Linked DNA regions of Struthio camelus. The protein of the gene in region 2 purifies or fractionates together with the protein of the main gene of each other region. This does not show direct contact. Links are inferred from orthologs where the notes say so. Each region holds a gene or a part of one and is shown on either strand. Other genes may lie near its edges. The genes, in order: HADHB and GPC1.

Region 1 (15,552 bases), on a different chromosome or scaffold from region 2:
CACTTGACACACTGCATGTCAACCTAATTGGCCTTCCTCTGGCTCCCCAAAGATGACATTCAGATTTGGCACGACTGCACCCAACCCCACACCTCACAATCCTTCCTTGTGACTTGAAATCTCCATGCCCCCCAAGTCATGCCTTGTCAACAGTACTCTTCTCGACAGCATGTCCTGTTTTTGCCCTGTTTCTTAATTAAAAAAACACGGCTAGTGACCTACAGCTCTTGTCAAATCACAGCAGGATGGAAGCAACGTGCAAGACAACAGAATTAGCTTGTTACTCTCCGTCTCACTTAGTTGTCTTTGAATCACCATGTCACTTAGATGTCTCTGTCTTGAACTTTAGGCACACTGAGATAGTAGCTATGACCTCTGTATTAGAAAACCATACACAGTCAGAATCCAAATCAAGTGAAATTAAGTCAAACAACACAACAATGCAATCTCCTTTTAACAATACTCTTTTGCACGAGTCTATTGTACGCTCTACTGATTGAACCCCCTACTAAGGCAGTGGCAGACCACGAAAAATGAATCACTTGGATCGTATTGTTTAGCAACAAAACTAGAACCTTGGCTCTCAGCTTAGCTGAAGTCACTGTACCAGCACCCTGGAGTCCAGCAGAAGACAATTTTTTGGGCTCTTCTGACAGTCCATTTACTTACTGCAATGCTGCTCTGGCTAAGTCATGTGGCATAAGATCCGCATACCTGGAAGTTCAAGGAGAGAGGCAGAAACTTAGTGTCAGAAACCAACGCAGGCGTCTTCTTCACTGTAAGTGCACACCAGCAGCACAGAACTGGTGAAGACACCAGAAATGCTCTGAATCACAGGGACAGTGCATTCATAAGCAAACATTTCATAGCTGCGGTTACAAAGACTATCTAGGTGTAAGTCAGCATACGTTCACTATACTAAAGCACTGAAAAGCAACAGTAATAGAATAAAGATATTCCTTCTGGTCCTAATTTAGCTGTGATTTTGGTGGTATAATAGTCTAATAAGAAGAGTCTGCAGCAGATTCTCCGCCCCTGTCCTGCTAGTTTTGTGAAACGCTTTGCTTTATCTGCTACAGGGGCATCAATGGGCTCCTCCAGATGTGCAGCACAAATCTGCATTCTCCTTTGAATTCATATTCATGGCCAATCTTCTTCAAGCCACGTTTTTTCATAATATAAGCTGGAAAAACTGTCAGCAGCCTAACTTTGCCATCTTAGTATTTTTATGTACAAAAGTAACTATATTGAAATCAACATAGCAAACCATATTCCACATTTTCCACCAAAAGATTCTACTATTAACCCAGTCAAAGTATTTTCTTATTATTTTATACTTACGAGGTGCCAGACTGCAAAAATGGAATACGGACACCCTCTACCACAACAATATTCTTCACGCCACTTTTGGCTAATGTCTTCTTACTCTTCGGCTGGACTGCTTAGAGAGAAGTTTAAGTAATTATTGCCAAGAATATGAGCAAGCTTAAAGCCAGATCCTGTTAGAGCTACTAGAAAACTCAGGAAAGAGTCCCCTTTGGTGCATAAGACAAAAGTAGAGTAGGTAGGAGATGCGAGGCAAAATCTTGTCCCTGTCTGGTTGAGCATGCCGTTTGTGAAAAATGGTTTAACAACACAGAATTTCAGCTTCCCTCATCAGCAGAGAGATTCATCCATAGCTATATCGAGGCAATGGCACAGCTCAGAATAAAGGAACATAATCCTCAAACTCCATTACTACTGACAAAAATATCGCAGGAAAAGACACCTCCAAGAATGCTGAATGACTTAGGATATAAATGAGGCGGACCAAATTCAAAGACGAGCAACCAGGGTAAGACCTCAAAGTCTTTCACTCGGGAAGCAACAAGGACTGGAAACAATCCACCTTCCATAGCAATTGCTCACTTATGTGCTCCTATTGCACAGCAAAGGTGAGATAATTCAGAGTAAATAAAAACACAGTGCAAGAAGTCAACTAACTTTCACTTCCATAGGAAAGTACTAGCAAAAAGAGGGCACAAAGCTGTTGTGGGTAGCTTGCTACTCCCTCATAATGCCTGGGAGTATCTCAGGTTTGAGACAAAGCAACGCCATGATACAGCATCATTTAATACACCACTGTCAGTGCTGTTCTAGAGAGATGATTAACAAGGAGCTCAATGAGAATTTCCTAATGCAGTCAGGTTTACAATTCTTAACCAGCAGACACAGCAGCATGAGGCAGCTGCATTTACAAGCCAGAAAAGGAAAAGGCATGTAAAAGCAGATTAAATCCAGCTAAATACTGTGCTCAAGCAAGTGAAAGCACAAGTATGAAACTCCAGCACTAAACTTGAGTCATATAAGAGGGTTCTCCAGATGAAGCTAAGGAGACAAGCGGGGGCTGCTGTCTTTTTGCAATCCAGGCAGCTCAAAGCATCACAGTCACCTGAGTGACCCCAGAACACATCCCAGAACCCCACACTACCCAAACGGCTTAAAAACACACACATCTAACAATCAATGTAATTGTGCACACTAAGCCGCTCTACTGAGACCTGAGCCTCTCATAGGTCTTACTGGACCTTTGAGCTAATTCCACAAGCCTCTCTTAGTCAGGGGCAACCTCCACCCCTCCCGGGCAAGAGACTTGGTTATAACCAGACAGCTTATAACCTCCTAGCTTAGCCTCTCTGTCTAGGATCCTAGAAATAGCAATCTATCAGGTGACAATGTGGCACGAGCTTCAGACCAGGCACAGTTGTTGGGGGTGAGGGAGATTCAGATGTTTAGAGGACTCTTTATTGGAAACACTGTTTTGCCTGTAGCTTTACTTTTTTGCAACTTTAGAAGGGCCCTCTAGAATTAACGAAGTCTGCCTTGTGTTTCTGAGATCTATGTAGAATGAGTATCTGGAAAAGGGAGGCAGCTTCAAAAATAGTCTCTAATAGAAACCCACTGAAGCTTTCACTTTACCTGCTGCCTGTAACTGTGAAGAGCAGCTGAGTGATCTTGCAGCTGAAAAACAAGAACCACAAAAGGAGCATTTATCAAATTATAATTATAAAAACATTTCTATTTATTTTTGTAAGAAACGTTAAAAAAAAAGAAGTTCCAATACAAGTGCACCTGAATATCTGCAAGGTTTTTTTTTTAAGTTACTGTGTTCATAAAAACAACATAGTACATATTACCAGTTAACATGAGATTCCTCCCATATTGGGAGATCTGGGAAACAACAAATACGTCAACAACAGAATTAGTTGTTTAAAAAAAAAAAAAAACCATAACGTAACAGAGATTCAGACAAAAGTGTCCCTGCCAAACGTAATGCTTAAAACAAAGAGAACTTTATGACCTACCAGTTCAAGTCTCTAATGAACATAAAGATACTTACAGACCCTGGCAGCCCATGCTGAGGAAGCAGGGAGGTTTCTGATGATATGGGTCAGCATGGAAGTCATCTTGAGGTCTAGAGAGGTGAAGAAAGACTGCTATTAGTCCAATCTGGCTTATTCAGAACAATTTCAAGGTAAGCATACTGCTTGATTCACACAGAGCCAAAAAAGCAGAGGAAGAGAAGACACATCAAGGGCAGTCAAGTGCAGCAGCACAGGGAATTACATTCTGTTGTACTTTCTGAACAGCATCTAGCACGTGAGAAGTCTGACTTATGACTGCGGCTTGCAAACATTGCTGTAAATAAGCAGTCATCTCGCTGATGACCCAGCACTGTACTATCACTATCAGCAGCGCAGCAGCCAGCACAGTTTTAGATTCCCCTCGCAATACCCGTTCCACCACTTCCCCGCTGGAAAATTGTCCCAGAGCCCAGCCAATCTCCCCGCCAGCATGACTCTCCTAACGCGCGCTCCTTGGCGCAACCTCGTGCCGCTGCCCTGAATTTCAACTGCTGACTCTGAGCTCAGTGACTTTCGTGGCGTATCCCCACGGGAAGCAGAACGAGCTGGCCACCGCCACCCCAAAAGCTTCCCCCAGCGGCTTTCTCCGTGCTCGTTCCGCAGCGGGACCGCAAGGCTTCCCTGCGGACAAACCCCCAGCCGCGCTTCTTCCTGCGGAGGGCCAAACCGGCCCCTGCTGCTCCTGCTCTTCAGCTGCCTCCGGATAAGACGCGCCTCATCCTGCCACGCTTTTAACGCTTAACACCGCCCCCCCCCCCCCGCACTACACACCCACGACTCACACCCCACAGCCCTGGCGCGTGACAAACACCCCTTCACAAACACCACGGGCGCACATGCATGTCCACACACCCACACACACCCCCTCACACCCCCCCACACACACCCTCATACTCCCCATACCTGCCCACACCCCTACACGCATCCCCACACCCCCTACGCACACACCCCACACACCCCCACACCCCCCTACACACCCACCCCTACACGCACCCCCCATATCCCACACACACTCCCCCCACACCTACACCCCCCACACCCCTACACACCCCCCCACATCCCCACACCCCCCACACTCCCCCCCACATCCCCACACCCCCCACACACACTCCCCTCCACACAGACCCCCTACACCCCCCACACACCCCCCACACACTCCCCCCCACACCCCCCCACACACACTCCCCTCATCCCTACACCCCCCTACACACACACCTCCCCACACCCCCCCCACACACTCCCCCCCACACACCCCACACACACCCCCCACACACTCTCCTCCACACACACCCCACATCCCTACACCCCCCCACACCCCCCTCCGCACACACCTCCCCACACCCCCCCCACACACTCCCCTCCACACACACCCCACATCCCTACACCCCCCCACACCCCCCTCCGCACACACCTCCCCACACCCCCCCCACACACTCCCCTCCACACACACCCCACATCCCTACACCCCCCCACACCCCCCTCCGCACACACCTCCCCACACCCCCCCCACACACTCCCCTCCACACACACCCCACATCCCTACACCCCCCCACACCCCCCTCCGCACACACCTCCCCACACCCCCCCACACACTCCCCTCCACACACTCCCCACATCCCTACACCCCCCACACCCCCCTACACACACACCTCCCCACACCCCCCACACACCCCACACACACCCCCCACACACTCTCCTCCACACACACCCCACATCCCTACACCCCCCCACACCCCCCTCCGCACACACCTCCCCACACCCCCCCACACACTCCCCTCCACACACACCCCACATCCCTACACCCCCCCACACCCCCCTACACACACTCCCCCCCACCCCCCCCACACACTCCCCTCCCCACACACCCCACATCCCTACACCCCCCCCACACACTCCCGTACACACACACCTCCCCACACACACTCCCCCCCCCACACACACCCCCACACCGACCTACACGCCGCTGTCTCTCACACACCTCTGGACGCCTCACACCCGCAAACCCCACTTCCGTCCCGCGTCCCCCCCCCGCCCCATGAGGTCCGTCGCCGCCGTCGCCCGCGCACCTCCGGCCCGACCCGGCCCCGCCGCCGCCGCCTGCGCCCTCCTGCCACCACCGCCGCCACCGCGCTGCCACTCTGGAAGGACCCCGCTCCCCCCGCCCCGCGCGGGCTGCCCCGACGCGCGCCTGACCGACACGGCAGCCCTGACAGCCCGGCTGTCCGCCTTCCCGCCGCTCCGCCCGCCCGCTCCCGTTCGGAGGAGGTGAGGGACGGTCGAGGCGCCGCGGGGAGAAGAGTGGAGCGAGGAGGGCGGGAGCGGTTGGCGGCGGAGGGGGAGCGGTTGGCGGCGCGGGCAGGCGCGGGCGGGGCGGGGCCGGGAGGGAGGGAGGGACAGGGAGCGCCGAAGGCCCCCGGCGGCGCCCGCGACGCTTCTCCCTCACTCGACCTCGCGCGCAGCAAAGATGGCGGCCGCGGTGCGCGCTATCGGCAGCCTGGGGCGCTTCATGGCCGCCGCCAAGCACTGCCCGCCCCGCCGCCAGCGGCCCCCGGGTGAGCTGCGGCGACGGCAGCGTGGGGCCCCGCCGCCGGGCCGGGAGCGAGCGAGCGGGCGGTTGGGAGGAGGAGGAGGCGCGGCCTCCCGGGGCGGTGCCCACGCGTGTGCGTGTCACTGAGGGGCGCTGTGGGGGCACGGAAAGCACCTGGCGGTGGGGCCACGCACGGGGGGGGGCACCGGGAAGTGGGGCCTCGCGTGTGTGTGTCCCCGGGGGGGTGCCCACGCGCGTGCGTGTCCCCGGGGTGGGGGGGGTGAGGGACAGGGGTTACTGAGCTCATGTATGTATGTGTCACTGTGAGGGATTAGGTGTCACTGGGAGGTGTCGCTGAGGAAGGGGGGGGTCTTCTTAGGAGGCATCCACGGGTGTTCGTGTTTCTGGGGGGCTCTAGGGAGGGGACAGCCCCCGTATGCCTGTGTCCCTGGGGCGGCTGGTGTCCCAACAGCCGGTACCTGCCCGGGGGGGAGGGCGTCCAGGTGTCCCCCCGCCATCCCCCAGGTGCGCGGGCGTCCTGGGGGACAGCGGTGTGCCTGCACGTGTTGGTGTCCCCACGCGGGACGTGCTCCCACGCGCCTCCCTGGGGCGGCGTCCCCATGTCCTCGCCCGCGGGCACGTTTTAGGCTAGAGGGTCCCTGCAGCCCTGCGAGCTGACCCTACGGGGAGGGGGTGTGCGCTCGCGTCCTGGCACGCTGCGCGTGTCCCCAGTATCCGTGCGTGGCGGGGTGGGGGGGGGGGCGTCCCCATGCCCTTGCGCGCGGGTGTCCTGCGGCTGTCCCCCAGGAGCGGTTTCCCACGCGTGCCCACGGCAAGGGGTGTTCTGCCCCCGCCCGTGCGTGCGTGCCCCCCCGGGGGACAGCTCTGTCCTTGGGGGTCTGTGCGCGTGGCCCTGAGGGGAGGGGGCCCCCGTGTCCCTGCGTGGCGGAGGGAACGCACCGTCCCCATGCGTGCCTGTGTCTGCAGGGGCCTCGCCAGCTGTCTTTGGGCCGCGTCTAGGTCACGTTTAGAAGCGTCCCGGTCATCGACCGCTGCTCCGTTGCCATCTGCTGACTGAGCCCGAGCCCCCTCCTGCTTGGGCGCGATGGCTGCTGGCGGCTGAGTCTTGGTGCTTTGTCCCGGAGGTACCAAAGAAAGGAGTTGCAAGGTGCCCCTGGGGAGGGCCTAAGGTTAAGACTTATTAGAAACAAGCTCTTATTTCTCTGCTTTGAAGGGCCTTAGGGTCTGGTGTCAATGTAGAGCTGAAGTCAGGCAGTGTTTCATTTAAGCCTAATGCCTGTTTTACATGCAGGATTGGAGCAAGTTTATATGTGACTTCATCGCTAGAAGAGCAGAGCACTGCAACTGATAACGAGCAGATCGGTAGTAATTCCAGAGATTGCTTAAACAGCCTCTTGTGGGCTTCTCATTATAACTGGCAATATTCTTCATTACAAATACTTTGTTCCGGGAACGCTGTCAGGACTATCTGTCTATCTATCTGTGGCTAATGTCACGTCATGCGACATAATTAATAGCAGTCTTTCTACGTGTTGTTCTTCCGTAACAACGTATTTGCCAAAACGGATGCGAATCTATCACGGGCAGCCCAAAAAAGAACTGCAAAAGGCAGTAAGTAGGCAGAAGGCCGTGCAAGCTTAAGAGCTAGCCTTACCTGCTCTTCCGTATGTATATGTATATTATGTATATATCATACCATATGCTGACAGGTTCCCAGAGGTGGTAGTAAATAGCTCAGTTTGTTGGAAGTTTCCCGTCTTGCGGCTCGCAGTTCAGTGCTCAGTGCGATCAGCTCGCAGGTACAGCCGTCTTCGTGAGCTTCAGCTCTTCTGTTCTGCTGGCGCTTGCCCAGTCCAGGACTACAAGAAGCCTTTCCTCGTGAACCATCTATGGACGATGTTCCCCCTTCAAGTGATGTGCTGCTTCGGGGGGAATGGAAAGGCAGGAAGGGGAAGTGCAGGACAAGGAAGCAGCCAAGGAAGTGACAGAGGAAAGAGAAAGTGGGACGAAACAGGTCCCAGCCAGATTGTTTGAAAGGGGGCTTTTCCATTCCCTGCTTGCTTCTGAAGCTCTCTGCTAAATCCTGAGAACAATTTTCTGAAGTGTTTGGTGTTCCTTTGTACAGACAGTCTTTCATTTGTCCAAAGAGCAAAGAATGTGAAATAGTGAAAATTGAATATATATTCAGGGCTTTTAGTTCTAGAATGAACATTAATAAAATGGCAGAAATGTACATCTGGCCTGCTGTTATTCCTACAGAATTTGGAAGAGGTTTTTTCTGGCTTCAATCTTGGCAAGTTATCACAGCTCCTTCTGAATGAAATCAAAACCTAAAGCAGTTGTACTGTGACTGCATAAATGTGCTTTTAATTTTAGACGTAGAAATTGTTTTCCAAGAGTATACTGGACCCTAAAATAAAATATTGTCAAGAAAAACACACAGAAAGTTATAATTAAAAAAAAAAAACCTCACTCAAATAATAAGCAACTGTTACTCTAACAGCAGTACGTTTCCCAAAAGAGCTTATATTGAAACGCGGTGAGGTTTGTTCTGTCTTGCCCTTGATGATTTTTTTTTCCTGCTCTGTATCTGTTGTTTTAAAACTGAAAGGTAAAGTGGAATTCAAGGTTTAAAATTTTCTTGGAAAATTTTCCTTCCCCCACCCCACCTTTAGGAGGTGCCTGACTGAGGGTGTGGGAGGAAAGCATTATCACTTGATCTGCAGCTGGGATGTTTGTTTGATCTGATTCTCGTTCCTGCCATGCCTGTCACTATGGAGTAATACAGGGATTAAAGTGAAGACGTTCAGTAGGATTGTTCAGTGCTCACCTGGCTAATGTAGTGGAGTTGGATGGGCAGCCTGCTCTAGGTGACCCTGCTTGAGCAGGGGGTTGGACTGGATGATCTCTGAAGGTCCCTTCCAGCCTCCACCATTCTGTGATTCTGTGGGTGGCTTGCTAATTGTGGTATTTTAACCCAATGAAGTGCATCGGATTCTGCTGAGGTGCGTACGTCAGTGGAGAAACTGTTGGCAGACAATGCTCTGTTTTGTGGAAAATGAGAGCTGGTGCTTCGTTCCAGGAGTACCCGACTTTAGTGCACAGAAAGTCTAAGGAAATTAATGTTGACCTGAGTAATTGCAGTCTGGGCCTTGTTCAGGCCCATAAATATTTTAAAGCCGCTTTGGAGTGGAAACCAGTTCACGCTTTGTTTATAAAATGGTATCGCAAGTACGTGACCCCCTGCTCCCATCAAAGAGAAGTCTGTTGAGACGGACTGACACACAGTTTCCATCCCCAGCCCGTGGCATCCTGCCAGGTGTCCTGGGCTTGGGGAATGGAGCGCAAAGGTCATTCCCCAGTGCCAGCACCTGTGACAAAGTGGAAAGAGGGTCAAAGTGCAAAGGAGCTCTAGCCCCGAGCCCGTGGCCCGGGGCTGTGGGGAGGGAAGCGTGTCTGTTTGCGAGGTGCAGGCCAAGGTTTTAAGGTTGTTTTCGTTCTCCTGGGTTTTCTGCCTTCTTGCTGCTGGGACAGGGATTGTTTCAGCCCCGAGCGTTTTACCAGTGCTGCGTAGTAAATGGCTGTGTTCCAATTGGTAGGTGTACAGTACGTTGCTTAAGAAGTAACACTTTTAGACTTTGAGAATTCAAACAGCTTTGGCAGAGATTCAGCCTAGATCTGCGTTGGGTGATCCTCTCAGTCAAGATCAAGGTCGTTTGAACAGAACTGAGACTCGCTTGCGTAGTGAGAGATCATCAGGCAGAATACAAATTCTTGGCAGGAAAGGGGAATCTGGGATATTTGTGCGAGTAAAGTAGCATTTCACTGTTATACAGATTTTGGTCATCCCTCGTGCTGTTTTTTCAGAGCAAGTTTCAAAACAAGACAAGTTTGTCTAGGTACTTGCGTATGTAATTTGTAGAGATGGATCAACCATTGCCTTGATAGATTGTGGAGGAGAGAATAAACATTGTGTGCTGTTTCTTTGTGGCTTAACAGCTATGTTTCCTGTGATCTGTGCAATAACACTTGGAATGCCAACATTTACAGGCATAGTAGTGCATTTTTGCAGAGATATTCTAGGACATTTCTATTTAGTCTGGGGAGAACTTTATACGCAGGCTTGAAAGTGTCCAAAGGGTGGTAAGGTCTCTCTAATTTAGCATGTGAAGAAGTGTTGAACCGTGCACGCCTAATGTCAAAACCCCTCCGTAGGTCCCCTGCTTAATCTGTTGTCAGCTCTTTAGTAAAAAGGTTTTGATTTTTGCCCTCAGTTTGGCATTCCTGTTATTGGAAAGTCCCGTGTGGGATCTGTCCTGCCAATGTCACTTCAGTAGCATGGAGTCCACTGAATTCTGGTGGTGGCACAGGTCGAGCCATAGCAGAAGGAACTGGCCGGTATTCAGGATTTTCTGAAACACCGGCCTCGGCAGATAAGGGAAGATGGGAGAGTATATTAAGATCTGAGCTGAGATCACCTTAAAAGCTTACCGAGAATGCCTGTAACATCTGCAACATCTCTTCCTTAGGTTATGCTTGCCGTGGTATCTCCACCTCCACTGTTCTTCAGGGTAAGCGTAAAGCTTTTGTATGTGAGTTGATTTTTCTTTCCTAAAATCCACTAAACATAAGCTAATAAAGTGTTTCCGTTTGTTTCCAGCTAGAACCCACGTTAGCTGTGATATCAAAGGAGATGTCGCTGTTGTACGTTTCAGCACACCAGATTCAAAGGTGCGGTTTTGTTGACTGTGATTAATAGGCATATCAGAGGAAAGAGCAGGAATACAGGTAGTACAGAGAAGGCATTGAAAATTGGTAACTGAAGACTAAGAACTTTCCTAACCTGCTGCCAGTCAGATTTGAAAGTGGAAATTTGAGAATGAGAATCGGGGCATATAATAAAAGAACATACTGGGAAGTGCCCCCTGGAAATATTTTATTTGTACCAAATTGACTTGTCTCTCTCACCAGCACAAGGTGTCACTGAACATTAAGTTCTCGATTCAAAGTGGCTGAGGAGAGGGTCCATTCTGTTGAACAAAACAGCTTAGAAGCTCTTAAAACATGTATTGGTGAGGCTGAAGAAGAAACTTCTTAAGAGCAGATTACTTGATAACCTGCTGCAAGGTTTCATCTTGGGGTTTTCTTTCTGGCTGTGTTGTGATACAGGGTGAAATGAACTTTATAGCCAAGCTGGGCTCAATTTGTGTGCCCAGAAACATTAGAATTGTGCCAGAATGCAAATTTTAAAAGGCTATAGAGCTACTGCTTCCACTGCCTTCAGACAGATTGGAAAATCCATTTAGACTTACCATTGGCTTTGGCTTTTTCCTCAGTCTTTCTTCTGTGAGAGTTTTCCGATGATATGATGATTGAGTCCAGCACTTAATCAGAGGTTTAACTCCACTGTCTCGTGGGCTCTCTATTTACAATGTGTATTGGCTACCTTCAGGTGAACACTCTGTCCAAACAATTGAGCTCCGAGATGAGTGATGTATTGAATGAAGTCTGGGCCAATGAAGCTGTCAAAAGTGCCGTCCTCATCTCTTCAAAGCCAGGCTCTTTCATTGCTGGAGCAGATCTTGAGTAAGTTTGGGTGGCAGTAGAAACTATGCTGATGGAGCTTTCTCTAAAGTCCAGCATCTCGGGCAAAAGGTCTGGTGTGCTGTGAAGACTGAGCAGTTTGTCACTGACCTCTCCCCAAGGGTGAGGTAGAGAATGAATATGAAATCCATGTGCGCAGGATGTATAACTTGACAGGGACTTGCTGAAATGAAGTTATGGCCTTGATAAAGAGGAACCTGGCTAGTCATTAAACCCCATTTGCTTCTAGCACTGGGTCGCTCCTTCCTGCGTGCCAGGGTGCAGCCAAGGAAAATTCCCTTTCTGGCTCAGGGGTAAGCCTTGTGCTTTGGTCTGGGGCACAACGAGAGCAGATAATTTACATGCAGAACTTCATTTGAGCTGGATCTTGAGTGTCTGGCAGTCTGCCAGCACAGCTCCTTGATTGGGCAGTCTTGGCTCTCTGCCATATGGAGCATCTGAGCAGCTTCCCAGGCTGGGTAACTCTTGTCGGGTGCGAGTACGCCCTGTATGAGTGCTCTCACCTGGGCCTGGAGTGCCGTCAATTGCCAGTCCTGCATTGGGCACGACAGAACAGTTGTTTAAAGACATTAAAATCCGGAAGCTTTGAGCAGAGAAGGTAAATGCATATCAGCCCTTCCAGAGCTTGTTACCTTTTTGTCCAGCCTTATTCAGGAGCAGAGACTTGATCTATCCTGTGGTGGGAAGGAGGCAGTAGCTTTAGCTGGTAAGCAGGACAAAAGGACAGGCTGTGTTTAAGAGGTCTCGGCTGGTCTCAGTGCAGCAAGCCTGCTGATTAGTGCCTGCCTGGCAAACGCTGCTAGCCTCTGTGAGAATAATTGGCTCGGAAAGTCTCTAATTGGCGGAGTGCAATGTCAGAGCACTGGCCATCTGCTTCTCTCAAATGTGATCCTGGGCTCTCCCTTCCACCCTTCCTGGCAAGTGCTTTGAGGCTTCCTGTGACCCTTCCTTCTCTCCCCAAAAGGCTTTCAGAGCTCTGGCACAAGGAGACTCATTCACTGCCTGCAGGCACAGTCCCGTGTCAGTATGCAGTGACTTAACCCACTGATTTGAGTAGTCTTCCTGTGTTCTCTGTTAATCTAAATCTGTGGGACTAAATAGCTCTTGCCTGTCTGTCAGTCATTGGAGCTTTGTGGGAAGAGGGGAATAAAATCCTTGAAGCACTCTCCATTTTACTGCTGTTTTCTCAGCGCTTTTCCAATTCTGATCAGCCTTTCTGCCTCACTGCAGCATGATTGGCGCCTGCAAGACTTCTCAGGAAGTGACTCAGCTCTCTCAGGAAGGACAGAAGATGTTAGAAAAAATTGAGCGGTCTTCAAAGCCCATAGTTGCTGCCATCAGTGGCTCCTGCCTGGGAGGAGGACTGGAGGTACTGGACAGTTTGGGGTCTGCCAAGCAGCAGTGGGAGTTGGTAGCGCTAGTTCTCCAAACTAGCCGAATGATGCCCGCAGGACTATCCTGAAAGGGTGCGAGAAGGATCTGAGACCTGGCGTGGATTCTGTACAGCCATTCAAATGAATCTGTGGCAAATTAACGGGTTGGTTGTGCTTCATGGCTCTGCCATGCTAATTTTTCTGCTGCTGTTGAAAGAGAGCTAATCAAATATGAATCTCTGCGTGCTAGGCTAATATTTAGGTGAGTGCACTCCTGGGAAAACAAGCTGTTTCCAGCAGGCATTGGATCTAGAGAAATGCTGTTGGCAGAATCCGGGCTGGAAATAGCTTCTTTTCAGTTGAAATGAACCTCACATCCCAGCAACTTCTTTTAAAGGTTCTTGTGAGAAGGATGAGTGTGGGGAACCTGGTAAGGCTCCAACCTGGCCTACATTCTCTCTTGCTTGCCAATTCAGCTGGGTGCAGTATTTGCTTCCTAATCTCTGTTTAGGATTATGCATTTTTAAGTAGCTAATCTTCTCATCTCTGCCCAGCGTGATGAGGAAGGAGGAGGCTTTGTCAACTGAAAGGCGCTGTGATTATTTCTGCAGCAAAGTTTTCACTACATTGGAATAACTTTGTTTCTGAGAATGGGGTCTCTTCAGCTGTGTACTGATTTCTCAAGCAATTTCAGCTTTTTGCAAGCACAGTGATGAAGGATCTGGGCTTGGTGATCCAGTGATGGGCTGAGTGTCGTGGCTGATCTGTAAATGGGACAGTGCTCTTGAGTGCAGTGAATGAATTTAGCCCCCGAGAGTCCAGATGAGATTTAAAAACAGCTTGGCTCAAATCTGTAGTCTTGTGTTCATGCCAATAGCTGCTTGCTATCATCAGCCCCGTTTGCCCTCTTCTCGCTGGAGGAAGCCATGAATGAGCACAGAGGGAATTTGGGCAGTTGAACTAGGGGTGAGCCAGGAGGAAAGCTGGGGAAGGGTGTGGAAGGGAGCTTTGTGATGGGTGCCCAGTTCTTCTGTGGTCTCTCAACGGGAACTCTTGAGATGGTTTCTCTTCCTATTTTAAGGTTGCCCTTGCCTGTCACTACAGAATAGCAACAAAGGACAAGAAAACGGTCTTGGCCACACCTGAAGTGTCACTGGGACTCCTGCCAGGGGCAGGGGCCACTCAGAGGCTGCCAAAGCTGGTAAGTAGGAGACAAATCTTAATAGCCCTTTCTGCTTCACAGCGTGCTCCCACTCTGAAAACCTCTTTCTGCCCCTGCAGGTAGGACTTCCTGCTGCCTTTGATATGATGCTAACTGGGAAGAGCATCCGTCCTGACAGAGCAAAGAAGATGGGTCTGGTTGACCAGCTGGTGGACCCACTAGGTCAGACATGAGGACGCTAGCATTGTCTTCAGCTGCTTAGGAAGCTGATCTGCTGTCTGTCGGTTAACCTCTCCACCTTGCTGAAATGGGCAGAGAAGCCCTCCATGCAGCCAGCAGTCTAATGGAGGCAGAGCGTGTGGTCTGGAAAGTCCTTACGATGCTCTGCAGTGCAACCACCATTCCCACCTGAGAAGCACGTGCACAGGGACCTTGACATGTCAGGCTCAGTCTAAAGCTAAGTGAATAGAGAAAGGTTAGAGCGAAGGGTCGGCCTGTTGGCTCTCTTGCATAAGCGAATTGTACAGATAAGAACCTGCATTCCTCATTTATCATGTCAGAGGGACAGATTGCAACCGCTAATAAAAGGAGACTAGGTGACTGATGCCTACATTTATGCAGCCTGCAGATCAATGACAAGATCTGTGGGGGAAGCCAACCCCTACAACTTAGGTGCTCTGACTTGCTAACTGACTTTCAGTTGGATGGAGAAATTCCTTGCAAGTTGCAGACCAAATTGCACTTCCAAGTGGGCTAATGAATAATTCCTTGCTTCTGCTGTTCCTGCATCAGGGCAACTTTTTTGGAAGGTAACTATGTGGAGGGGCCAACCCTCTGCAGCCTCTGCTGAAAGCTCTGAACAGCTGCAGCTGGGAGTTAAACCATTGTGGCCGTTGATACTACCACATAGTTGCAGCATGCTGAGCTGTTTCCCCAGTCAGAGCGCAGCTGAAGGACCCAACGGGCCCTTAGTGCCTTAGTTTAATGAACAAAAAATCAGCCTAGCCTGAGAAAAGCGGGGGAAGCCCTTGTATCTGTTTTGTCTCGCATACCACTCTTCAGCTGGGTGAGGTGTCTTTAGCCTTCCTCTGACTTATGAAATGGGTCAGTGGTACCTAGGTTTGAGTTAAAAATCTGCATTACCACTGCATAGTTGCTTAAGTATGGTATTGCAAATGTGGCTCTTTATAGCAATGAACACTCTGGCTCGCTAAAAGGAAACCTGAACTTTTAAAGAGCTGTTAGGAATCCTAACTCAGACCAGATAAGCACTTCGGAGGAGACAAAAAAAGAAAACAATCAAAAAAAAAAAAAAGACCTGTGAACGTTGGAGGCATTCTTTGTTTGTTCAAGCAGCACCCAGTGCCAGAAGGTTTTCTGCTGCGTAATCGCATATTCATTCTGAATGTCTGGGCAAAAGCAGCTTTATCTGTGGTGATGCTTTAACTGATAATAAAGCTT
Region 2 (15,129 bases):
TGCTCCACCATGCTGCCCACTGGACCGCTCCTCTTTCCTCCTCACAGCTGTGCTCAGCAGCAAGCGTTTGCAGGAGAAGCACTAGAAAAAAAAAAACATCCTGACTCTGATCTAACTTGTACAGGCGGAAACAAAGAGGAACTTGCTTTGGATTTGCAGAAAGAGAGATTCAACGTAGGCACAAAGTTAAGAAGGGGTGGATGAAAGTCAGCATCAAGTGGCCTCCTTTAAGCTTTACTGCCATGCTACCAGATGCAACACTTCCAGCACATCTGTGGATTTATACCCTGCTTCAGAGACACCTTGCCATGTGAAAAGCAGAAAAGGTGACTGTGTTTGCTATGTGCACTCTGTAGCGCAGAGCACTCATGGAGATACGAGAGGACCCCTGCAAATAGCCAAGGCACTCAGAGCTACGCCTGGCTGGTTCATGCCAGCAGCTGCAGAGCACGCTGGGCAGTAGATGCTGGCGGCGTGGCCGCCCGCAGACCCCTGCCATCACCACGGCGAGGCCCACTGCGAAGACAACTCTCTGCAGGGGCTTCCAGCAGGGCTCCTCCGAGTAGGAGCAACGTGCACATGTACTATCTTGCACGCTGCTTGCGGGAAAGCAAAACCCGCGCGGTGGCAATGCGTGCCCCATTACGTACGTCAGCAGAGCCCGACTGAATGTCCGAATGCAACTCTTTCTTGTCACCACTCCTCTGTAAGGCTGCCTGCCTGCTACACGCACACCAAAACACCACACGGCACAAAGATGGCCAAACCCAATATAAAGCAGAACGTTGTGCTCCGCAGGAGCCAGGGCAGCGGCAGCAGCAGTTCAAGCCAGTTTTCCTAAGAAGCCTGCAGATCTGCACACAACTGGCATGTCTACTTCCCTCATTTTCCTCAAAATCCCCAGCCAGTTTTTCCAGGTCAGTGCTAAAAGTTGATACAAATGCTGTCCCCACATCAACAACTGCCAGTCCCCCTCCCTCCTACCCTGTTGCTCACTTCACACCACCCACACCTGAGCCGGCAGCACGGTAACGCCTGACCCCCAGCAACACCATCAGAGACTGAAACCGTGGCACTGGCCCCAGCCCCACAGCGCAGAGGCTGCAGCGGACAGCAGGGTCGGGACCGATCCTCAGACCAGAGGCTCTCCGCAATGGTGGCCTCCCTTTCGCCGAGCTTTTACTACTTGCTATACTGTGCCTATCGCAATAGGACACTGCAATAGAAGCCATTCACACCCACCCCACGAGCCCAACAGCCAGCAGCAGGTGGGGACAGACCCCATGCCAGTGGGCAGGTGCTCCACGCTCTCCACTTGCGAGCAAAATAAAACTTCCCGCTCCAAATACACGCTTTTGATGACCGAGTTTGCAGCTCACCTCCCCGCTCCCCCTTTTGGAGAAGTCGTCAAAGCCCACTTAATTACTGAAATTACCCAGAGGCACCCATCTATCCAGTCCCAGCCATGGGAGATAATTGTAGTGAAAGCAACAGAACATTAAACCAACTGTTTGGTGGTCCCTGCCAAAAGCCCCACAGCTCCCATCAGACACCTCCTGCCTACCTAGAGGCTGACCTAGAGGCTGACCTAGAGGCTGGCCTTTGCTGTTACACAAAGCAGGGCAGTTGGAGGGCAGTAACACAAAAAGGTGAGGCGAGGTGAGCTCCAGAGCTTCAAATGGCAGGGAGGTCTCCAGCTACGCGCAAATGCAAATTTTTCAGGAAGAGAAAATATCGGGCTTAATCATGTTTTGCTTCACCAACAAAAGAAGCTGTTGAAATAGTTTTGTCAGACACAGCTGATAAGGATAATTATGTGGTGAGAGCTTAGTCATCCGTATCACAGTGACAGAAAGACAGATTCTCTAAACAACAACAAAAACTCCAGAAAGCCAAAACCCAAAGAACAGCTAAGTATAGAGCTTTCCAGATTTCAAAACAAATTAGAGAAGCACTCAGTCCACCAGGATAGATGCTCATCCAAGTCTACAAGTAGGTCCTGTAATTAACCACTAGAGGGAGCCCATTTTTCTCCATAAATGAAATGTTCATAATTGTTTTATGTGCACGTTTTGCATTCAGAAAATAAGAGAACAATCACAATGTGTAAAATATGCATATTTATATGAATACAGATTTTAATTTAAGCTGATATGGAGAGATACAGTTCAAGCAAGGCCTACTCTAGCATTTGCACCAATATACTTGCCAGACGGAGAAGAGGCACCAGTCAACGTGCTTGGTTTCATTAAAAATGGCCCTCTAAACCAAGCAGGCTACAAAGGACACTCCAATTTGCCCTTAAATTCATCAGCATAAACAGGTTGATATTGCATTCAGGAGTTCACCATCTAGCTGCCCTTGAGAAATCACATCTGCATTTCGTAGTTACAAACCAAATACAACAACAACCTCCAAGAGTGCTGGAGCAACGGAGGCTCCCCTTTAACTCAAGCAGTAAAGATCTGTCCCAGGGAGATAAGGAGCCCCAGATTCTTCTTTTTAAGACCACCGATGCAGTTTTGCCCATCTTTGTATTTACGCCTTGTACACTGCAACTGCTGGAACTTAAAACGCCCTCCAAAATTGGGTTTCATTACCCTGTCTGGACTCCGAGAGCCTCACCAAGTCCAGCTCTCTACCAAGGCGAAATTGCCAGGCCTGCTCTTTCCCCGGCTAGCTCTTCTCCAACGACTATTTAATACACGCCCTTGACAACGTTTCCCTTACAAAGCAGGGTTAGGTAGCCCAAAAGGACTGGGAGATGAAAACAAACGGTTCTGATTCCTTTCAGCTAAGCAGCCAGCAAAGCACGTGCTTGACACAGGCAACCAGATGAGCAGTGACACTGCCCGGCAAAGTCCGGCTGCCTTTACTCTGCGCCCTGCTCTGCTTCTCCTGCGTTACGCCCATCTCCCATGTCAAGCCAGAGAGGAAGCCAGTCAAGGAAGGTTACACCTTGGAGATAAACAAGCAGAAGCCTAGCCTAGACGGCAAGCAAGTTCCAAGCCTAGCCATGGCAAGCAGAACTCACAAGCCTCCTCCAGCAAGCGAGGAAACCATCTCTGCTCAAGCCGCTGGGAGGGGTCACCCATCGGATGTCAGTCATCCCAAGCCACGCCGTCCGGCCAGTGGACAAACCTGGACGTGTCCCCGTGAAGCACAATGTTTTCTGCAGGAGCTTCACTCTTTTTTCCCCCTCCACAAGGGATCCCATATTTTGTATGGGATCACAGAAAGGGGAAGAGGGTCATCCAACCAGAAGCTGCAGCACTCCCTAACACACAGGAACCCTTTGCTCAACTCGGTACGTCTTAAGGAAGCCAAGGCCATCATTTTCCCATACCCAAAGGGTAGGGAGTATCTCCGTCAGCATTTGAAACTTTCCTCTTGGCAGACCTTCACCTATGAAGCCAAGTGTGCACGTGCTTGTCGGGATTACTAACGTGAGCAGATGCTGCTTTCGTGTTTGGGAATTTTCCCATTGACTTCAACGGGACGAGATATAACACCTTGCGTTTTCCCTAACCCCATTTAATAACAGCTACTCACACATCTAGAGTGCTCCAACGTGTTATAGGCACCGTACAAACATCAGCAAGAAAACCAGGAACCCCTTTCTTGGTGTTTCTTGAGCAATCTGACGGGCTGAGAGTTTATCCCTGCATCAGATCCCTATCTCCTTGCCAGCTAATAACAGGAACCGCGCGACTGCTGATCTAACCCAGCTGAGCAGTCAGAAGCAGCCGCCACCTTCTGCTGAGCTGTGGAGACTTTATATTAGTCATAATCCTCTTAAATCGTAACAAAGAACACAGATCAGAAGGTGCAGTGTGTGCTGTAAACGTGCGAAACCCAACACACACAGCCGTTTCGGGGTGCATCAGAGCCCATGCTACTAGAGCGGAGGACATGTTTTTTTGAAGGGGGGGGAAGAGGTCCAGACGCCAGGCCCATGAGCTGGCTGCTCCCTCCTGGCAGCACCCAGAGCCACCGTGGGAGCACAACAGCACTCTTGGAGCATAGCCCCAGGACTCAAAGGACGTCCGTCACCAGCAATGGGAAGACCAAGATCCTCACGGAGAGGACGAACGTGAAGGGGTGCTGCCTCCAGAGGGCTCAAAATAAGACACAAAAGCTGGAGGCACTTGGGGCGGCTCGCACCTCCACCGGCCGCAGGGGGATGACCAGCTTCAGGAGACCCCAGCACAGGTCCAGCCCTGAACCAGCATCCTCAGCGTTTTTTTTAAACTTAATCAAAAATTGTTGTTGGTGGATACGTAGACGTTTATAGGCGCCAATCCCATCTAATCTGACAAGACTCCCATCACACAGGTTACAGCTCCCACAGTCAGCACGCTTAACTAAATCCGCTGAAACTAGCTTTTAAGCGATGGCTGAACATCTCAAAAGCACGCTGAAAATTACAATACTGTGCAATATTGTACTTGTGAGGGGGGAATTCTGCAGGAAGGTCTTGAGAGCCTCCCTTTGGGGGACACGGAAACTAGCATTGACTTCTGCTCTAACCTGCACAACAGCTAGCAAGTACACCTGACAACACCACCCTTTACTGTCAGCCTCAGAAATTTTCCATAATAAAGCGTATCGATCAACATGCAGTTTTCCCCGTATGGGATAAGTGCTACAGCAATAGAAAAGGGCATTCCCAAATACTTATCAGTTAGAAGTTTCACGTGATAATTACCAACAAAAATCTAAGTCTGTTAGCTGTTTCAAATACCAAGTGTGTAATATTTCCAGCAGCACATTTTTCAAATGTGGAAACTTCTCCCTCAAGCATTTTCCATGTGGTATTCCTCACGTTTTTATAACACGTATCCAGGCAGTTTCCCCCCTGCTTACAGTGTGAAAGATGCCCAGCTTGATACTATAGTTTTCACTACCCCTAGCTTAAGGCCGCCAACATACACACTAGTAGCACTTCGGAAACAAGACTTGCGGCTCCTCAAAACCTTGACGTTCGCAGTTACCTCTTATTGCATCTGAGCAATCTGCAGGCAAAAGATGTTTTACTCGCAGATAACCTGCAACAGCTACCCCATACTTGTAGTATGCAGTTCACGCGATCCTACACAACTGCTCCTGTAGTACTACTGCTCCACGCAATACCTGATCCACCGCCATTAATACCCATAAACATGTAGTCTTCTCAGTACTTTCTAGCTGAAACACATGACTGCTGATGTATTCACATTTGTAATAATTAGAGGCAAATTTATAAAAAGCCACCTTCTTGCTTAACCGAATCATTATTCTATTAGTAGTGATGTTCTGATGATTTCAAAATTCTCTACTGTTCAACTTCAAGGACTGCTCATTTGATTTTGGAAATTCACTCTTGGTTGCAACTTGACAAAGAAAGTATTAATTTGTTCACATTTATAAGACGTTTATTCGGTTCAGTCTTTTCCATTCATGGGTCAGACGACGAATTGCTTTCCCTGGAAAACTACCCTGTGAGATATTCAGCATAAGGCATTCTGTAGCTCAGATGCGAGCTACGAACCGCAATTTTTCCTGGGATGTCCCTGTAGGTTGGCTTTGGCACGTACGCCTGCATGTTTCATGCTTTGTCTGGAGGAGGAAGCTCCCACAAGCGAGGCAAAAGCTCTCAGATATGGGTCACAAGTCGGTGTATCAAAACTTAGACAAGAATAAAGAAGAAGATAAAAAATAGCATATTTTCCCCAGGCTTGTAGGAAAGAAAAAAAAAAAAACAACCCTGTGAACTAGACCTTGATATTCTTTTGATATTCCAGAGGTTTTGGACAAAGGAAGTCTACTACTGTTTGTCAGAAAATAGAGCGCGCTCTCCCTCCGTGGGCGAAGGCGAGAGGACGCGTGGTGGCACGGGCTGCCCAGGTTCCTTCCACACATTACACACCTGACCCAGGCTCGTTTCCCCCCCCCCCCGCTTCATTCCTAACTGCCAAAAACACCGTGCCAGGGTTTGCCTCCCATGCAAAGAGAAGAGTGAGAAGAGAGGAGAAACCCCAAACCCCAAACCCATGCCTCCTCCACCACTGCTCGCCTTGCAGCGCCTGCCAGCCCCGAGGCTGCCCGCGCCGCTCCACTCGCCCCCGTCCCCCGAGCAGGAGCCTCGGAGCAGGACGGCGGCGCCCGGCGCAGACAATGCCCCGAGCCCCGGCGGCGCCGAGCGCTGCCCGCCCCGGCCCCGGCCCCGGCCCCCGCCACTCACCGGAGATCTCGGCCTGGGGCACGCCGCTGAGCCCGAAGCCCTTGGCCCCATACAGCTGCCGCACCTCGGCGCAGCTCCTCGCCTTGCCGCCGCTGTCCGCGCGGGCCGGGGGCGAGGCGACACACAGCAGCCACAGTCCCCACGGGAGGAAACGCATCCTTCTGCGCTGCCCGCCACCTGCCGCGCGAAGGGCAACGCCAAGGTCCCGCGGCGGCGGGGGCCGCTGCCCGGGCAGCGCGGCGGCAGCGGCAGGGACGGGGCGGGCAGGCGAGTGCCGCCGCGCTCTCGGCCCGCGGAAGCGCTTTTGTTCCTAGCGCGGCTGCATGCCCCGGGCAGCCCCGCCGCGACGCTGCCGGCTGCCGAGCCGCCGGGCCGGGGCGGGCGGGGCGGGGCGGGGCGGGGCGGGGCGTGCGCGGCGGCGGCGGCGGCGGCGGCGGCTCGGCACCACCTGCGCGCCGGGCGGGCGGGGGCGCGGGGGCGCGGGGCGAGGCAGGGCTTCCCCCGCCGGACGTGGCATCACGGCGCCCGCGCCAATCCCGCGCGGGGCGCAGCCCCCGCCCCGCCCCGCCCCGCCGCCGCTTGCTGGGTTGTTTGACGGTGATTCGGCGGGAAGCAGCGGAGCTCCTGGGGACCTCGGTGAGCGTCCGCCCCGCCCCGCCCCGCCCCGCGGAGACGCGTGCGGGCCGAGAGGGGCGGCCCTGGCCGAGTCGTCCCCCTGCGGGCACGGCGCGTCCCCGCGAGCATCGCCCGCGTGGCGGGTCACCTCCGGAGGGCTCCCACGAGCGAGCCCACCAGCTCGTGGCCAGGAACGAGGACGCTTGCCGACGGATGGAGGGCCCACGCTCGCCCCGGCCGAGGCTCCTGGGTGAGCTTGCACCCTGCTAGACATCAGAGAAGCCCCACAGAAAGCCCCACCCCAGGTACAGCAGGGTCCCCGAAACAGCAAATTCTATGGGAGACTGCATCTTTCGGGCAAGTCACTCAGACGTGCGCAAATCCGTAGGAAAGCCGGGTCGCTCGTCTTGCTGCTTCAGGGACTGCTTGCTCTCCTGAGGAACGAGGAAGGAGAAAGAAGTGACAGCAAAATAACAGCCCCGGGGAGGGCAAGGATGGCAGGAGAGAAGAGGAAAGATGTTCCTTTCCTGTGAAATTGCCTAATGATTTCCTATGAACTTTTCCTAATTAAGTCACCCATGAGACGCAACCTAAGAGATGAAGAGGACCTGACTGCAAAGAGGGAAAATTCTCTAACAGAGATCACAGGAGCTCAAATGACATGTCACTGTAGCTAAAACTGTAAAAAGTCTGAGTCATATGAGCCTGTGCTATCTCCCAAATCATCTTCTACAGATCACACGGGGCTTCGAGGCTCTGGATGTCCATGCCCAAGCCTTGCCCAGCCTCAGCACGCACACGATACAGGTTTGCTAGCTCCCCCCAGCTTCTACACAGCAGTCTGCAAGTCCCTCCGAAACTTTACTGAGAATAGTGAGTTGACACTGAGCGAGACGTTGTTGGGCCGTGGAGTTAAGAGGGTCCTGTTATGAGGGCCCTACCTAAAAACAAATCCACGGTCTAGTGCAGGGCACCGATGGCGTGTGCCAGTGCCAGTGCCAGGGCAGCTGGCCATTTGGACCACAGTGACATCTGGGCTGATCAGAGGTGTATCAGTGATGCACAGGTTAGGAACCCCACGGAGGCGACTGACAGCCCAGTCGCCCACTTCATTAGCACCAAGGCTTTCAGTTCCCCCCAACTCGCTGTGCCTGAGCTTGAAGCTTCCTCGGGGGGGTTTCCAGAGCATGGAAAAAAGGTCTTGTTTCTGGAAACACGTGGGAAAATCTGCCACAGATGGACGTAAAGTCTGACCCACCCTCTCTTTTCTAAGTGCATGAGTACCGCGCATATTAACAGGTTTCTAAGTTCATTACGAGGAACAAGTTTATTTCAGCCCTTATTCCTGGTTATTTATTGTAATTTTATGGTCAGAGCTCTTTCCCTACCCCAGGCTTTGAATACAGCCCTTACAGAGCTACGTCACAGCTCTCATCTACTCAACCCACTACAGTAACAGCGGAAAACCAGCAGAAAATTGGCGGAATCCATGCAAGGATACATACTGCTAGGAGTACAGAAACACCAGGATCGTGGTTTCTCCTCCTGGTTCCAGAGGGAAAGTCAAACAGTTACAGCACAGAGCTAATACCGCTCTTGCTCGGGTCTGGTGAGGGGAATGAACTCCACGAATGCAAACTGCCGAGCCGGAGCACTTAAAAGAGCAGAAAGGCAGAGTCACAAACCTCTTATTTGCTCTGGAAGATGACACAGGAGCCCAAGCAGTACCTAATTTTCCCTTTTCCTCCTGCGCGCCCAAGGTAGGATCCTTGCCTCTGCGGTGCACCCAGGGCTCGCCCCCGGCTCTGCCTGATAGCACCTTGTGGGAGTGCGGCGTGGCTGTGCCCAAGCTCGCAGCACAACAAAGCCCTCCGCGACCGCACAGCTGGCGAGTGCCCGGACATGTTGGCAGCTGACACGGGAAGAACTGGGACTGAAACCCTCGGCTTTTGGCCTTGCGAACCATCCCCTGAGCTATAGATCATTTTACGGACAAAAGTATCTTCTTTGTTCATACACATCTCGCTCCCCCGAGCTGGGGGACAACACTGCCTGTAGCACAGACACTAAAGTCAGGTCATTCCTGATAAAATCCAGAGAGCCGGCAGCACACGCTCTGCTCGTTCAGAGTCACCCTGTTGTGTCCATGGGGAAGCACTGGGGTACGAATCACCAGTGCAGACTGCACCGCTGGTTGCCAAACCCGTCTCAAGAAGCAGAGCTGCAGGTACCACGAATTTCCTTGATTAAGTGACCTTCAGCACATGACTTTCCTGCTGAATGGGGATAACAGTGTTTCTTACCCAACCCCATGCCTGTGAGGTGTTTGCATACTATCATAATGACAAACTTATTAGATATAGCATATTATATATAATGAGAAGACAGCTTAAAAATAATCGATATGAGCTGTGTGACACAGCAGCTATCTGTGCGTCTCTATAGGATACAATCGTAAGCAAGCAAATCTTCAGCCTGTCCTGAGGCATGACTGCGTGTGCTGCTGTCGCTGGCAAGGCGTGTGTGCATACCCAGGATTTGGGCTGGGTACATTTTAAGCAAACTGAAATCAACACCTTCCAAGCGTCATGATGAAAATGTGTTTTTATGTGCATTATAAACCGCATTTCTTTCGTGTGCGTTTGAAGATCAGATCCACTTTCTGAACACGCTCAATTTAAAGAACGGAGCTTGGCAAAAAGCGAACGCAAGCTTGTCCGGCACCTCACAGAAAGAGCTAGAATTGGGGCAGAAAAGAAAGAACAAAGTAAAGCACAAGCTGAGTAGACAAAATGCAGAGGAGAAAAGCACACAGCCAGCCAGGAGGGTAGTCAGAGGCAGACAGAAAATCCATCCTGCTGGGGCGATCACCTCTTGTCAGCCCCCGACAAAAAGTGCTGCCTGCTGAAAAGCTGATCCAAGCATTACAAAGAGGTAAGAATGATGAAGAGGAGCCAAATCACCTGGCACAAGCCGGGAAAGTTACCCTTTCAAAAATAAATGAGCGGAGGCTTTGTAGTGTCTCGACTTCCACAGGTTCTCGTCCGTCTTCTCTTTCTCCAGCACTTCCGAAAGTTTCACAGCGCCATGGACATGCTCTTTTCAAACTAATGCAGATCAAGCGCTGCAGGGGCAGCAAAGCAATCGCATCCCCCAGAGCTCCAGCTGGCTCCATGACGGACCTGCGCTGAGCTACAACCACCGAGTGTCTGACCACAAAAGCAGAGCAGCAAAACCCCAAATACCCTGTTGAATCGGTAGGCAGACCCCGTCTACTTTTTTCATTGTGTATCAAATACAGAGCTGACAGGAAGTGGGGAGGGCGAAAGGAAAGGAACCGGGAAAAGCTTACGCGGCCTATAGCTTCCTCTCTCTCCCTTGCGGGTGTTGCACGATGAAACCCTCAGCCCCTCTCCCTGAGTCGGTTTTATGCCACATTTGACTCTGCAGAAGCCTCAGAAAATCTGGCACCTCGAGATTAAAAGCCTTCATCAAAGCAGGAGCAGATCAGTACCTCTTCTGCCTGTTTCTTTTCATCCTTGCTCTATCCGGCTCCTGCAGGAGTTCAGGCAAGCTCTCCCCCTGCTCCTCCCACCCCCAGGCTGGCTGCTGTTCAGCACAAGCTGGACACGCGCTTTGCTGAATCAAATCTAATTAGGTTATCCAGAGGATTTACTAGATTACACCTTGCTATCTGCAGCTGCTGACTTCTTCACTGGATCGTCCTCACTGGGACCCATGCAGCTCCTCCTCCCCTCCTGCACACAAACCCCTCCGAAGCTTTTCGGACACGCGCAGGAAGAGCGTACGTGATTGCTCTGGTCACAGAAAAATATGAAATCTATCCTTTTAAATTGCTGGGTCACCTACGTACAACTGACAAATCCAGCTTGATCTCAGCTGACTACGTGAGAAGCCATTTGCTCTACCGAAGCGCTAAGACTTGCTGGGATTTGTGTATCTGTGCTAATTAATGAGGACTATGGTTCCACAGATGTACAGAGCTGGGGACCCTTCCCAGCACCGGAGCTCCCAGCAAGCCAGAAGTCAGACCTCGGCGCAAGAAAATTCGTAATTCTGGCCACGGCGGAAGAGGAAAAGAGGACGGGGGCTGCAGCAGGGTACACCAACGCTCAGCCTAGCTGCTGCTGGACCCTCGATTCGAGCAGACCAGCTCCCTTTAAATGCAATGCTTAATTCCAGCGTGTGTGGTTAGTACTCTGTAGGGTGAGATTATCAACCACCAAATAATTTCAGGCAGAGAATCTGGCTAATTGCCCCTCTGTGCTCTGCTTCGGGTTGAACGACCCACTTTTCCAGCAGTGACTTAAAGGAATGCATGGCTGTAATGACCTCTTACCAACGACTCCACCCTGTAGGACCGTGCTTGTGTCATACGTGCCTCAGAGATTTCCCAGTAGAAAGCAGTCTTAAAGGCCAAAAAATAAATATATGCCAAAAACTCATTAGAGAAACTGCTGCTAATTGGGTCTGCCCCAGGAAATATATTTCATCCTTTTTGGACATGACTTTCAATAAAGCTTTCCTGACTCCCAGCTCCCCAACAAGTTTGTAACAGTGAATGAAGAATACAGACACAGTATTGAATCTGTTTTATAAAAGCAGGGCTTAGCTTGATATATGAAATGGCTCAGAACTGGCTCTAAAATTACTAGGTTAGAAATGTGTGTTTTCAGCATGCCACTACAGTGATACACAGATTTCTCCCCCTGCTTGCAAAAACCACAGTTGGGACCACTTCCTCTTATCGTTCAGAGGGTTATGTCCAGAGCTTGGCTGTTTTTGAAAGGGTTTTATGAAGTAGAAATCTCCCCTCAGTCTGTCATTGGTCGCTGGGCACTGGCTTAAGAAAAGCGCCCGCAGGAGCAAACTCCGCGCCTACGAGTGCAGCAGCACCTAAGCACTGGTCCAAGGCATATGGACCTGGGTCAGGCATCCTGTGCACTTCAGTGCGGAAAAAAAAAGCTACAGCCACAAAGAAAGAGATGTGTGGTGCAGCAATCCAGCCGTTCTGCAATGCTAACAGAGCGTCCTCGAGCCGACGCGTTATCCTCAGCTGATGCTACATTAAACACTACATAAAGCGCTTTAATGAATTAACAGAATTATCTTACGTCCTGCTCAAGTGTTTACTTTTTCCCTCACATCCAGTTACATATAACATAGGCTGTTTTCACAGAGAAATTGGCTATGAGGAAACACCCATTCTGTGGTGCTGAAAAGCACCGAACGCCTTTAGTTGCAAGGAGAGGCTCTCGCGCTCCCGGGCTTTGCACAACGGACTTTGGCGATGCTGCGAAGGGGTGTCAGCCAGCAGCACGGGCAAGCTGGGGTTAAACCCCAGTGAGCGGGAAGGACAGCTAACAGCAAATGTTCGACAGCGTTTCACACAGAAACGATAAAAACTGAATTTGAGTTTGGAAACGCATCCTTCCCATGCCTTTTTCTCTGAGTTGTTAATAAGATAATTACCAGGTGACACAGATTTTTTGATGTGTGCCAGCTTTACTTCTGATGCAATGCTGCACACAAGTAAAGTGACATCTGGAATGGATCTGGTCCAGCGTGTTTTTCATTTTAAGATCTATGCATTTTGCAACACAAATACAGTGTACGCATCCACTATGGCTACATGAATTTTAGGGTGCTTGAAGGCCAAGCCTTCAGAAGATAGTCCGATGTCAGTGAAGATACACTGATTTATCCCGGTCGAGGATTTGGCGCCTTTACAATCCAACATCTGCTTGCGATCTTAGTATCGCTCTGTGTACAGTTTCTTTTGTCAGGACCACATAAACATCCAGTACTGGATTTTCCGAGATGCCAGATGACACACACCCATGTTCTGAAGATTAAAAATAGAGCTCTTAATCTGATTTCATTTCTTCAACCTGCTAGAAACCAGAGAGCATGAATACAAGGAGATGTACGGAGCCTGGGTGTAAGAAACGACAGAAATCACCAGCACACTTAATTCTGTCTTACTTTTTTTTTTTTTTTTCTTACAGTGTTACTTTTGAGTATAGCCTTGAGAATAAGTTGTTCGCAGTATCCATGTAATTTTATATCGCATACATAATTGTGCCTCAGGCAGGACCGTTATTCCGTGGCTAAAGGGGCAAAGCTGAGATCCTTTGCCTCTATTGTGGTCGATGCCAGGGACGTTGCTTTTTAAAGCACTTTAAATAGAAGTCGGTGGACGGGGGATCCTGCATCTCACTTTCAAATCTTCCTTGCTGCCTTACAAAAGCTAAGCAGTTAGGTGCAATGACTCACTCATGCTGACATTTTTGGGAGAGAACGATGCCTTTTATAACAACATCGATATTCCCCCATTGAGGTCTCAACGCTGGCTAATTTAGAAAAGAAACATGTAGTGCAAGGTTGAAAGGTCACAGGCCAGCCGAAGAGCTCATGAGATCATGGGACCATGAAAGAAGCTCCGACTTTAAAATAAAATAGCCTTTTTTCTTTCTTTTTTTTTTTTTAAGGAACAGACAAACTTTTCTGAAAGGCCAGGAATTTAATTTGAACTCTTCTTTCACATACTGTACAAATAAAAGCTACACTGCGGAACCACTTGGGGCGGTTCAGTACAGTTTATCTCCAGAGGTCACTTTAATCTATACGGAAGGGACAGGGAGAGGGAGGGACACACATTTACTTTGAGAAAGCTGCCAGACCTCTGTAAGCTCTGATGTTCCCATTGCCAAGCCAACGCCCTTCTTAAGATTATTCTCCCCGCAGTCCGTAATGCCTCTGCAGCCTAGGGAGTGTGAAATTAAATTATGAAATATTGGATTATTTGTGGCTGTTGTGTGCTGCTCTGTCCACACTGTTCTTTTCCCTTTCTTAACTTCCTGATTTTTCCTTGCTAGAGCTAAAGGAGAAGAGGGGGAGAGAAAAGCTTATAACAACTTTACTTCCACAGCATTATCTAGACTGATGTTTTTGTGCCCTGAACAGATTTTAACACAGATTCAGAATTGAGACTAAAATCGGAGCCAGATTTTCTGGGTTTGACTCCTTTCCATGACTGCTAACCCACAAAGTATTCCTGTTGTTTGCCTGTTTGTTTTCCGAAGAGACACTATTACAGTTTCCTCCCAATATTAAGCGTCTCTGAAAACAAATTCACTCTGATAGAGATGATCTTTCAGAGTCCAAGCTGAAGAGAGCCTCCTTTCCTTTATCAAGGAACCTGAAAATGCTGATGTGGGATTTACAAAAACACAAGCAGCCGAATGCGTTGTGTTTCCTTTTCCTTCCAGGGCAGTAGCAGCTAACAAATACTATTTGTTGATGCAGTATACATAAACCACACGTCCTTAGAACAATAACTTATTATTAAACCAAAGCAATTAGGCACAGAGAGCCTTCATACCTGCAGCCCTCAAACTGAAAGAGGTCAAGTGGCTGCCTAACGGAACGTGCAATCGGCAAGAGAAGAAATTATTCTTTCACCATTCGTGCCTTCAGCGCTTACGCAAACAAAGACGAGCTACTGCAGTGAAAAACTGTACTTGAGCCAAGCTATCCTCTCAAACTTTCTTAATATTAAGTATTTCACAAGTATATCTCTATTTCTGTGCTTTCGTTTTTGTCAAGCTTAACAGGGTTGATAAACTCCAAAGTAACCAAGTGTAAGGCACCTGTAAAGCAAACTGACTGATGGGACCTTCTGGGCGTATGCAAAAACACAACTGGGCAACTGTGTGCCTTTGCTTAGCCGAGCAAGATGCGACCCGGATGCCAGTGCATCAGTTCAGCCCACTGCTTGGATGCAGCATCAGAGCACAGCACCGTTTGCCACCGCTGCCCAGCTGCCCCTCTCCTGACTCTTCAAACACCCAAACACCTTCCTTGAGAAGCTCATGGGATACTCGCCTGTAAAAATTTACCCTGCCTTCCGCTATAACATCCTTAAGTATTCACTCTTTTTCCATCAAGAATTCTGTAATGCCATTTCTTTGGAAGCCAGAGAAGCTTTGGAAGCTCCCCCCCCCCCCCAATTCAGGGTTTTTTCAGTTAGTTACTTGGATGAAGAGTTCAGCAGAAAAATAATCCCAAAGCCACCCTGGCTCACCCAGCATCCATCATGAAAATAATTCCAAAAATTCTCCGTTTTCACTCCCCCGACCCTCAGCTATGCAGATGAGTGTTGATGAGCCTGCAGGTCTCCACAAATGCTATGGGCCCTAAGTTGTTCACTTAGGGCTGCTGTTACTCCTACCTCTTAAAGGCAGACAAAAGTTGCCCCATGACTGGCT

Evidence for each region.
Region 1: the proteins of GPC1 (region 2) and HADHB purify together in Homo sapiens (co-immunoprecipitation; 3 studies listed by BioGRID and IntAct, counting the BioPlex papers as one, with this or other methods). This does not show direct contact. The link is inferred for Struthio camelus from reciprocal best matches to the Homo sapiens genes GPC1 and HADHB.

Annotation. Positions count from the first base shown.
Region 1 is NC_090944.1:1,808,853-1,824,404, reverse strand, and holds the start of HADHB (trifunctional enzyme subunit beta, mitochondrial), read right to left. Parts: upstream 5,860-15,552; 5' UTR 5,598-5,859; intron 5,593-5,597; exon of another isoform or gene 5,358-5,592; intron 4,140-5,357; exon of another isoform or gene 4,038-4,139; intron 3,455-4,037; 5' UTR 3,447-3,454; coding exon 3,380-3,446; intron 3,001-3,379; coding exon 2,959-3,000; intron 1,442-2,958; coding exon 1,342-1,441; intron 715-1,341; coding exon 670-714; intron 1-669. Other genes in the region: HADHA (trifunctional enzyme subunit alpha, mitochondrial), read left to right, coding at 5,869-5,956, 10,482-10,523, 10,613-10,683, 11,405-11,538, 12,787-12,925, 14,011-14,130, 14,211-14,313. UniProt on the Homo sapiens protein: Mitochondrial trifunctional enzyme catalyzes the last three of the four reactions of the mitochondrial beta-oxidation pathway.
Region 2 is NC_090950.1:8,215,199-8,230,327, forward strand, and holds the start of GPC1 (glypican-1), read right to left. Parts: upstream 6,617-15,129; 5' UTR 6,381-6,616; coding exon 6,224-6,380; intron 1-6,223. UniProt on the Homo sapiens protein: Cell surface proteoglycan that bears heparan sulfate. Binds, via the heparan sulfate side chains, alpha-4 (V) collagen and participates in Schwann cell myelination.